Oryctolagus cuniculus: one gene and its partner. Each later gene encodes a partner of the first gene's protein in a complex. Links are inferred from orthologs where the notes say so. Each region holds a gene or a part of one and is shown in the gene's direction. Other genes may lie near its edges.

The links.
Region 2: the proteins of RAF1 (region 1) and RAP1A are in contact, whole or in part, in a crystal structure (PDB 3KUC), measured with the Homo sapiens proteins. The link is inferred for Oryctolagus cuniculus from reciprocal best matches to the Homo sapiens genes RAF1 and RAP1A. Residues at the interface, in NP_001341619.1 of Homo sapiens: Thr57, Arg59, Asn64, Lys65, Gln66, Arg67, Thr68, Val69, Val70, Lys84, Lys87, Val88, Arg89, Gly90; in NP_001010935.1 of Homo sapiens: Val21, Gln25, Ile27, Val29, Asp33, Pro34, Ile36, Glu37, Asp38, Ser39, Tyr40, Arg41.

The regions. Positions count from the first base shown.
Region 1 is NC_091441.1:114,681,271-114,684,199, forward strand, and holds the end of RAF1 (RAF proto-oncogene serine/threonine-protein kinase), read left to right. Parts: intron 1-329; coding exon 330-448; intron 449-797; coding exon 798-929; intron 930-1,024; coding exon 1,025-1,159; intron 1,160-1,310; coding exon 1,311-1,454; 3' UTR 1,455-2,295; downstream 2,296-2,929. UniProt on the Homo sapiens protein: Serine/threonine-protein kinase that acts as a regulatory link between the membrane-associated Ras GTPases and the MAPK/ERK cascade, and this critical regulatory link functions as a switch determining cell fate decisions including proliferation, differentiation, apoptosis, survival and oncogenic transformation.
Region 2 is NC_091438.1:58,749,132-58,753,252, reverse strand, and holds the start of RAP1A (ras-related protein Rap-1A), read left to right. Parts: upstream 1-1,228; 5' UTR 1,229-1,379; intron 1,380-4,121. UniProt on the Homo sapiens protein: Counteracts the mitogenic function of Ras, at least partly because it can interact with Ras GAPs and RAF in a competitive manner. Together with ITGB1BP1, regulates KRIT1 localization to microtubules and membranes.

The DNA.
Region 1 (2,929 bases):
TGCAGGCACGCCGTCCTCTTAGCAACCCAGAAACATGGCCTGTGCAGTGTTGGTTTGAGGCACCTCTATCACGTGGGACGGTCACATGCCCAGAGACCGCACCTAGACATGGGAAAGGGACAGGGCAGCCCAGGGAAACTTCTGTCTGCTTCCTGCAAGTGGGAATTTCAAATACTTGAGAAATAGTTCTAATTTCAGAAACCTAGAAAATTCGGTGCAGGTAAGTCTGGGATGAGGGGAGAGGCTAGTGTGCTCTCAAGGACTTTGGGAAGTTCTGCAGAGTAAACTTGACCATCCCTGTGAAGTCAGAGTCCTTAACAGGCCTTGAGATATATTCCTCCATGAAGGCCTAACGGTGAAAATTGGAGATTTCGGTTTGGCAACAGTAAAATCACGGTGGAGTGGTTCCCAGCAGGTCGAACAACCTACCGGCTCCGTCCTGTGGATGGTGAGCAATCTGGGCTCCCACGGGCAGTGCAGGGCGAGAGCACCGCTCCGTGGTTGTCTGCAAATGCCCTAAGGCCAGGTGACCCCTAGAGTTGGACAGCCTGGGGCAGTCTAAGGAATGAGGAACGGGAGACGAGCCATTCTGCAGCTGGGCGTGGACAGCACTGAGCAAGCTGGCACAAGCTGTGCGGGCCCTGGTCAGAGACCAGGATTCCGGAGCTGCTTCGGCCCCTGTTTGAGAGGCGGCAGTCCGCTGGGGAAGAGCTGTCTAGGGGTTACGAGTGGGATGGCCTGGGCCCCGGATGGCTGGGGGAACTCTCTCGGGGTGACTGATGGCTTTGTCCCTGTAGGCTCCAGAGGTGATCCGAATGCAGGATAACAACCCCTTCAGCTTCCAGTCTGACGTCTACTCGTACGGCATCGTGTTGTACGAGCTGATGACAGGGGAGCTTCCCTACTCCCACATCAACAACCGGGATCAGGTGAGGCTGCACTGGCTCGCTCACTCGTGGGAGCCTGGGCCTCCTGTCAGGCCTAAGCAGCAGCAGGGTTAGAGGTGTTACATCCTGTTCCCTAGATCATCTTCATGGTGGGCCGGGGCTATGCCTCCCCGGATCTCAGCAAGCTCTACAAGAACTGCCCGAAAGCCATGAAGAGGCTGGTGGCTGACTGCGTGAAGAAAGTTAAGGAGGAGAGGCCTCTTTTCCCCCAGGTGAGCCTTGTAGCTAGAGTGCTGGCCCTGATCAAAGCAGGTGTTGGTGCCCTGCAGTGCGGTGGGGGAGGGGAGGGGGAGTCTTCCGTGGGCAGGGGAGGGGGGCTGCAGCTGAGCGAGCACAAGCCCCCCCCCCCCCCCCCCATTTCAGATCCTGTCCTCCATCGAGCTGCTCCAGCACTCTCTGCCGAAGATCAACCGGAGCGCCTCTGAGCCATCCCTCCACCGGGCAGCCCACACTGAGGACATCAATGCTTGCACGCTGACCACGTCCCCGAGACTGCCCGTCTTCTAGTGACTGCACCTGCGCTCAGGCAGCCGGGCAGGTAGGGACGTCCGCAGGCACCACTTCTCTGCTCCCTTTCTTGGGCGCAGAGCGCATGTTTTCAGAGAAGCTGCTGCTGCTAAGGACCTTCGAGACTACTCACTGGGCCTTCACTTCACGTTGCCTTCTTTTCTACCCTTTCTGGCCCTGGGAGAAGGAAGCCATTCACCATGCTGGCCTGTCCTGCTCGCCCCCTCGTTCTCGGGAGCGCGCAGAGCCCAGCCTTCTCCGGCTGCATTAGTAGATACAGATGGCAATACAGGAGGCGGCCGCGCTGTCAGCTCAGTGAGTCGTCTTGAGAGAGGAAGCTTACTCCAAGGGGAAGTCAAGGCAGCCGGCCAGCCCTCTGGTGGGAGGATGCACGGGAGGTGCCATCCGCTCCTGAGAGGAATGCGGCTCGCAGCAGGGACTCCGTCAGAGCTGGTGCAGCCCAGTTTGCACATACTGCACCAGACAGCCCAGGACTGCCCGGAGGAGCTGCTTCGGTACTACGGGAGGTGACTGGGGACAGCCCCTGCGGGCCCAGCGCGCTGGGACGGCTTTCCGAGCAAGGCCCTCCCCATCTCCACCCTCTCAGGGAGCAGTCTTCCGTCATGCTGAATTTCGTCTTCCAGGAGCTGCCCCTATGGGGCGGGCTGCACAGCCAGCCTTGTCTCGACTCATATCATTGTGTATGCAAGGAAGCCAGTAATAAGAGGTTTTCTTGATGATTTGGGTTTTAATTTTGTTTTTATTGCGCCTGACAAAATACAGTTATCTGATGGTTCCTCAATTATGTTATTTTAATAAAATAAATTAAATTTAGCTTTAATGGCTGTTACCTCCTTTTTTAAAGTAACGCTGAGAACGCGTAGCTGGAATTCTCCCCTCGTTCACTCCCTCCCGGAGCAGAGCTCAAGCCTCAGGAGCTCTTGTCTGTGTTCTTTACCATCCCTAGTGAAGAGTCAGCTATGTGCACCGAGCAAAAAGCACTCTAAACTCCGGGAAGAGATCTTCTACCCACACTTTAATGGATTTTACAGTGTATTTGGTATCTAGCTTTTAACACAAACAGCTAAATGCAGGCCTGGGGTGGGTTTGCTCTGACTCAGAAGGTTCTGTGTGCTTCAAATGTCAACAGCTGATTGCCCTCGCGCCTGTTCAGGACCACTGCTAACCAGAACCTTCTGGATGCCCTCAAGTTTTCAGAGTTCACATCAAAGCCAGGTAAGAACGAACAGCTGGCTTCAGTGCGAACTTCACCTTGTCTAAGTATGTGTGTATGTTTGAAGCCCTTGATGTAATTACTCTGGTGGGCACGAGCCAGTGGGTGAGAGTGGGGACTTGGTTTGCATGGACGACTCTGGCTGGAGGCCCTGCCTTGAACTTGGCTGCCTGTCCAGTACTTGTACTACTTCAGGAGCCTCCCTGATGGGGACAAGTGATGGAGGATTTTGACGGCTTGT
Region 2 (4,121 bases), on another chromosome or scaffold:
GTCCCCCAAGTCCAAGTCAATGCCCGTGAAAGTGTGTGCCTAAGTAAGATTTGGGTGGGCGTTTCTCATGACACTTTGGGACACCTGCATCCCATATTGGGAGGAGAGCCTGGGTTCAAGTCTCAGCGCCAGTCCCAACTCCAGCTTCCTCTAATGCACATCCTGCAGAAGCAGGCGATGGCTCAAGTGCTCGAGTCCCTGTCACTCATGTGGGTGACCTAAATTGAGCTCCAGACTCCTAACTTGGAGGCCTGGCTCAGGAGAATCTGTTGCAGGCATTTGGGGAGTAAATCAGTGGGTGGAAGATCTCTCTCTGTCTCTTTCATTCTGCCTTTCAAATAAAATAAGCAACTAGCACATTTTTAAAAACACAAAATTATTTTAAAAAATAAATAGCGCTGTTCTCACCACACCCACTAAGGCCATCCTAGGGCAAGCTACCACCAACCACCTCACTTCCTCGGTAGCCTCCTGCAGACTTTCGTGTTCTCTGTTGTGTGCTTTACACACATCAGCAAGATTAACTTTTAAAAATCCGAACCGTAGCTCACCCTCCTCCATGGCTTCCCGTTGCCCCGCAGGGTCTGGCCCCTTGCCCACTGCACTGAGCCTCGCTGCTGGCTTCTAACTGCTCCTGCCCACAGGGCAGGCACATCCTACCTCTGCAAGTGTGGCTGATTGCCTTATTTAAGCCCCAGGTGCTCCACCCCCGGCCATCCCCCAACTCAGGTTTGCAGGGTTCATTCCATCAAGTCTGTATGTGCTCAGAGGTCTCCCAAGAGAGGCAGTATCTGACCCAACATCCACCCTACCCGCTGCTCCACTTGCCCCACACCACTTAAGACTGCCTGCAGTTGCGGTCACTGCTGTGTCTTCTGTCTCCCTCTCCCAATCCACTAGACGGCAAGCTCCAAGCCAGCCTTTGCTTTATCCGCTCCGCCTAGGGCACTGCCCGGCATCTAACTGCTGCTCAGTTAGTACTTGTGGCATGGTTGCGTTCTCTCCAATTTCTGTTCCTCCTGAACCTTTACAGCCGTCCTCATTTCATATCCGGCTCCTCTGCAAATGTGAAACTCCGCGCGCTTTCCCAGCAGTCGTCCGCTCTCCCTACCCTTTCCTGAGCAGCGGCTCCTTTAAGCGGACTCCGGATTTCCCCCCTCCCACCAGGGAAGGCGGGACCAAAGCCTGGCCGACGCCGACCCGGAGAGGCGGGGCGGAACTAAGGGGGCGGGACATGCGTCCTGCGTGCGTGCGCGTTCTGGAGGCGCCGCCGCCGCCGCTCCCGAGGCCGCCGCCGCCGTCGCCGCGCAGAGCCGGAGCCACGGCCGAGAGGAGGGAGGAGGAGGAGGAGGAGGTGGAGGAGGCGCCGGACCGGGGGGGTGAGTGAGGGGCGGGGAGCCCCAGCGAGCCCTTGAGGGAGCAGGGGGCGCGGGTCGGCCGGGCCGGGGCAGGGGCGGCTCATGTCGCCGGTCAGTCCCTGGCTCCCCCTTCCTGCTCAGCGTTCGCTCCGTGTCCGGGGCGGCGGCCCGGGGGCCTGGCCGGCGGGAGGGGCCGGAGCTCGGGAGGCCCGGCCGCCGCCGCCAGGGCCAGAGCCAACCACGCCCGCGGACCGAGCCGGTCGACTGTGGCTGGGCCTGCGGGAGACGGACGGGAGGGGCCCGGGCCGGGTGTGGGAGAGAAAGAGGACATTGTGTCCCCCACCCTCCAACTCCCCGAGGTGTCATGGCACAAACCCATTTCCCTCGCGCGTCTCCCCGGACATGGTGTCCTCGCCCCTCGCTGCTGAGAGGTGCGGAAGATTGCACTTCGCTGCCTTCTTCCTTCTCTTGCATGTTCTCTGACTAGGGTTAGGGCTTCCTTGCAGACCCGGCTCCCCTCGGAGGCGCACGCGAGGAGGCACTTGGAGGCTCGGGCACATTTTCTGTCGTCCGTCCCCTGCCGGAGACTTACGGGCGTTCTGCCCCGCTCCTGTCCACTTGTCAGGGGTTCAGGGACTGCCTTTCCTTCCTCGATCTCCCCTCACCACCACCCCAAGTGGATGGGGCTGACGTTTCTACGTCCCAGGGCGCCTCCCAGCCCCTTTCCCGCCCTCTTTCACCCCTGTCTCCTGTAGCGTGCCATGTGTTCTTCTTGTCAGCCTTGGCTTCGCCTGGGTCTCGGCTTCTGGCCCCGATGTCGTTAGTGGGGAGGTCGCGGTGTGGTTGTCGCCTCCCTTCCGAGGAGGCTCTGCAGGAGTGTCGGGTTGGTAGCACTGTTACTTGCCCCCTCACTCAGGAAGTTAGGACGGTGTCTTCAGCTGAATTGTGAAACCCACTTCTGTACTGCTAGGAGAAGAGGACACAGTGTACCCCACCCCCGCCCCCCTAGAATAGGAGGATATCATCACCGGGCTAAAATCCAGGGTGCAGGAGACCTTTGACCTCTTGAAAAAAGAACTGTGCTTAGGAGTGATGTATTCCTTTTGGGGAGGGAAAATCGTTTTGGTACTGCTTTGAAAGGAGGAGGGTGTAAGAAATAAAGTGCACCAACAAGGCAGTAGGTTCATGGGCCACAGGTAGCCACTGTTTTCCGATTTGGGGGTGACAGATGGTGATTCTGTGTGGGTTTGGTTTTTTACAGTAAGAATGAAGTATCAGCGCTTGCACTTAACTTTTTTGAAGGACTCCTACCTTCAAAAACATGCCGAAGGGCAGTCTCAGAAAAGATGCTGTTGGAAACAGGATTTGGAAACTTTCTTTGGGTTTCCTGTCTGAATGTGTGGGGGTGGGCATGCCGGTGTGTAGTGTTGCTTTTCTTTTGATGTAGTTGATTTATGTGATACTTTGACACAATAAGCCCTGAATTAGGCCCCAGACTCCTCCTCTGTCTTTATTATGCTTTCCTGTAGTGCTTTTTTTCTGAAATTCTTTCTGATATTATTTTTTAATGTGGTGTTTCAGTGAATCTTCTGTTGATTCCTTGGTATTTTGAATTGCCTTCTTTAAATATGCTTAGGTGTTGAGAGTCACACATGTTCGCTATTCATTGAATGAACTGAATGATTACAAAGATGTGTCTAGCTATTATTTATCTTCTGTCATTTTTGAGGTACCTTATGTTAGGATTTTATATTTGACATGGAATAAATGAAATAATTTTTAACCTTTTCTAGGCTGCTGACACCTTCCAGAATATAATGAAATATGTGGACACTGTCCCGAGAAAAAAAGTAACAGACATTACGCATAAAACTGCGTTCAAGGCCGGCGCCGTGGCTCAATAGGCTAATCCTCCACCTTGCGGCGCCGGCACACCGGGTTCTAGTCCCGGTTGGGGCGCCGGATTCTGTCCCGGTTGCCCCTCTTCCAGGCCAGCTCTCTGCTATGGCCAGGGAGTGCAGTGGAGGATGGCCCAGGTGCTTGGGCCCTGCACCCCATGGGAGACCAGGAAAAGCACCTGGCTCCTGGCTCCTGCCAGGATCAGCGCGGTGCGCCGGCTGCAGCGGCGGCCATTGGAGGGTGAACCAACGGCAAAAGGAAGACCTTTCTCTCTCTGTCTCTCTCTCTCACTGTCCACTCTGCCTGTCAAAAAAAAAAAAAAAAAAAAAAAAAAAAAAAAAAAAAAAAAAAAAAAAAAAAAAACTGCGTTCAGTCTCAGGGGCCCTCTGAAACCAACCATTGACACCTATCTTGGAATCCTTGAGTAGTATTCAATTTCGTATCAAAAATGTTCAGAAGCCTTGTTGCCTCTTTGTGTGGCCTCAGGAATGATGGTGTGTACACTTGCATTCCAGACGTTGGGTCTCTGGCAACAAGATATAAGACTGATTACTGTTAAAATTTTATGGGGAAAAGTTAGTCCACATTTGTAACTATTACTGGTTAGTTTTAAATTAATATGCTGACTGCTTCTAAAGTATAGAATTATTCTAGACACTTTTTAAAAAAGATTTATTTTATTTTATTGGAAAGACAGAGTTACAGAGAGAGGTAGAGAGAGAGAAAAAGGTCTTCCATCTGCTGGTTCACTCCCCAGATGGCCGCAAAGGCTGGAGCTGCGCTAATCCGAAGCCAGGAGCCAGGAGCTTCTTCCAGGTCTCCCACGTGGGTGCAGGGGCCCAAGGACTTGGACCATCTTCTACT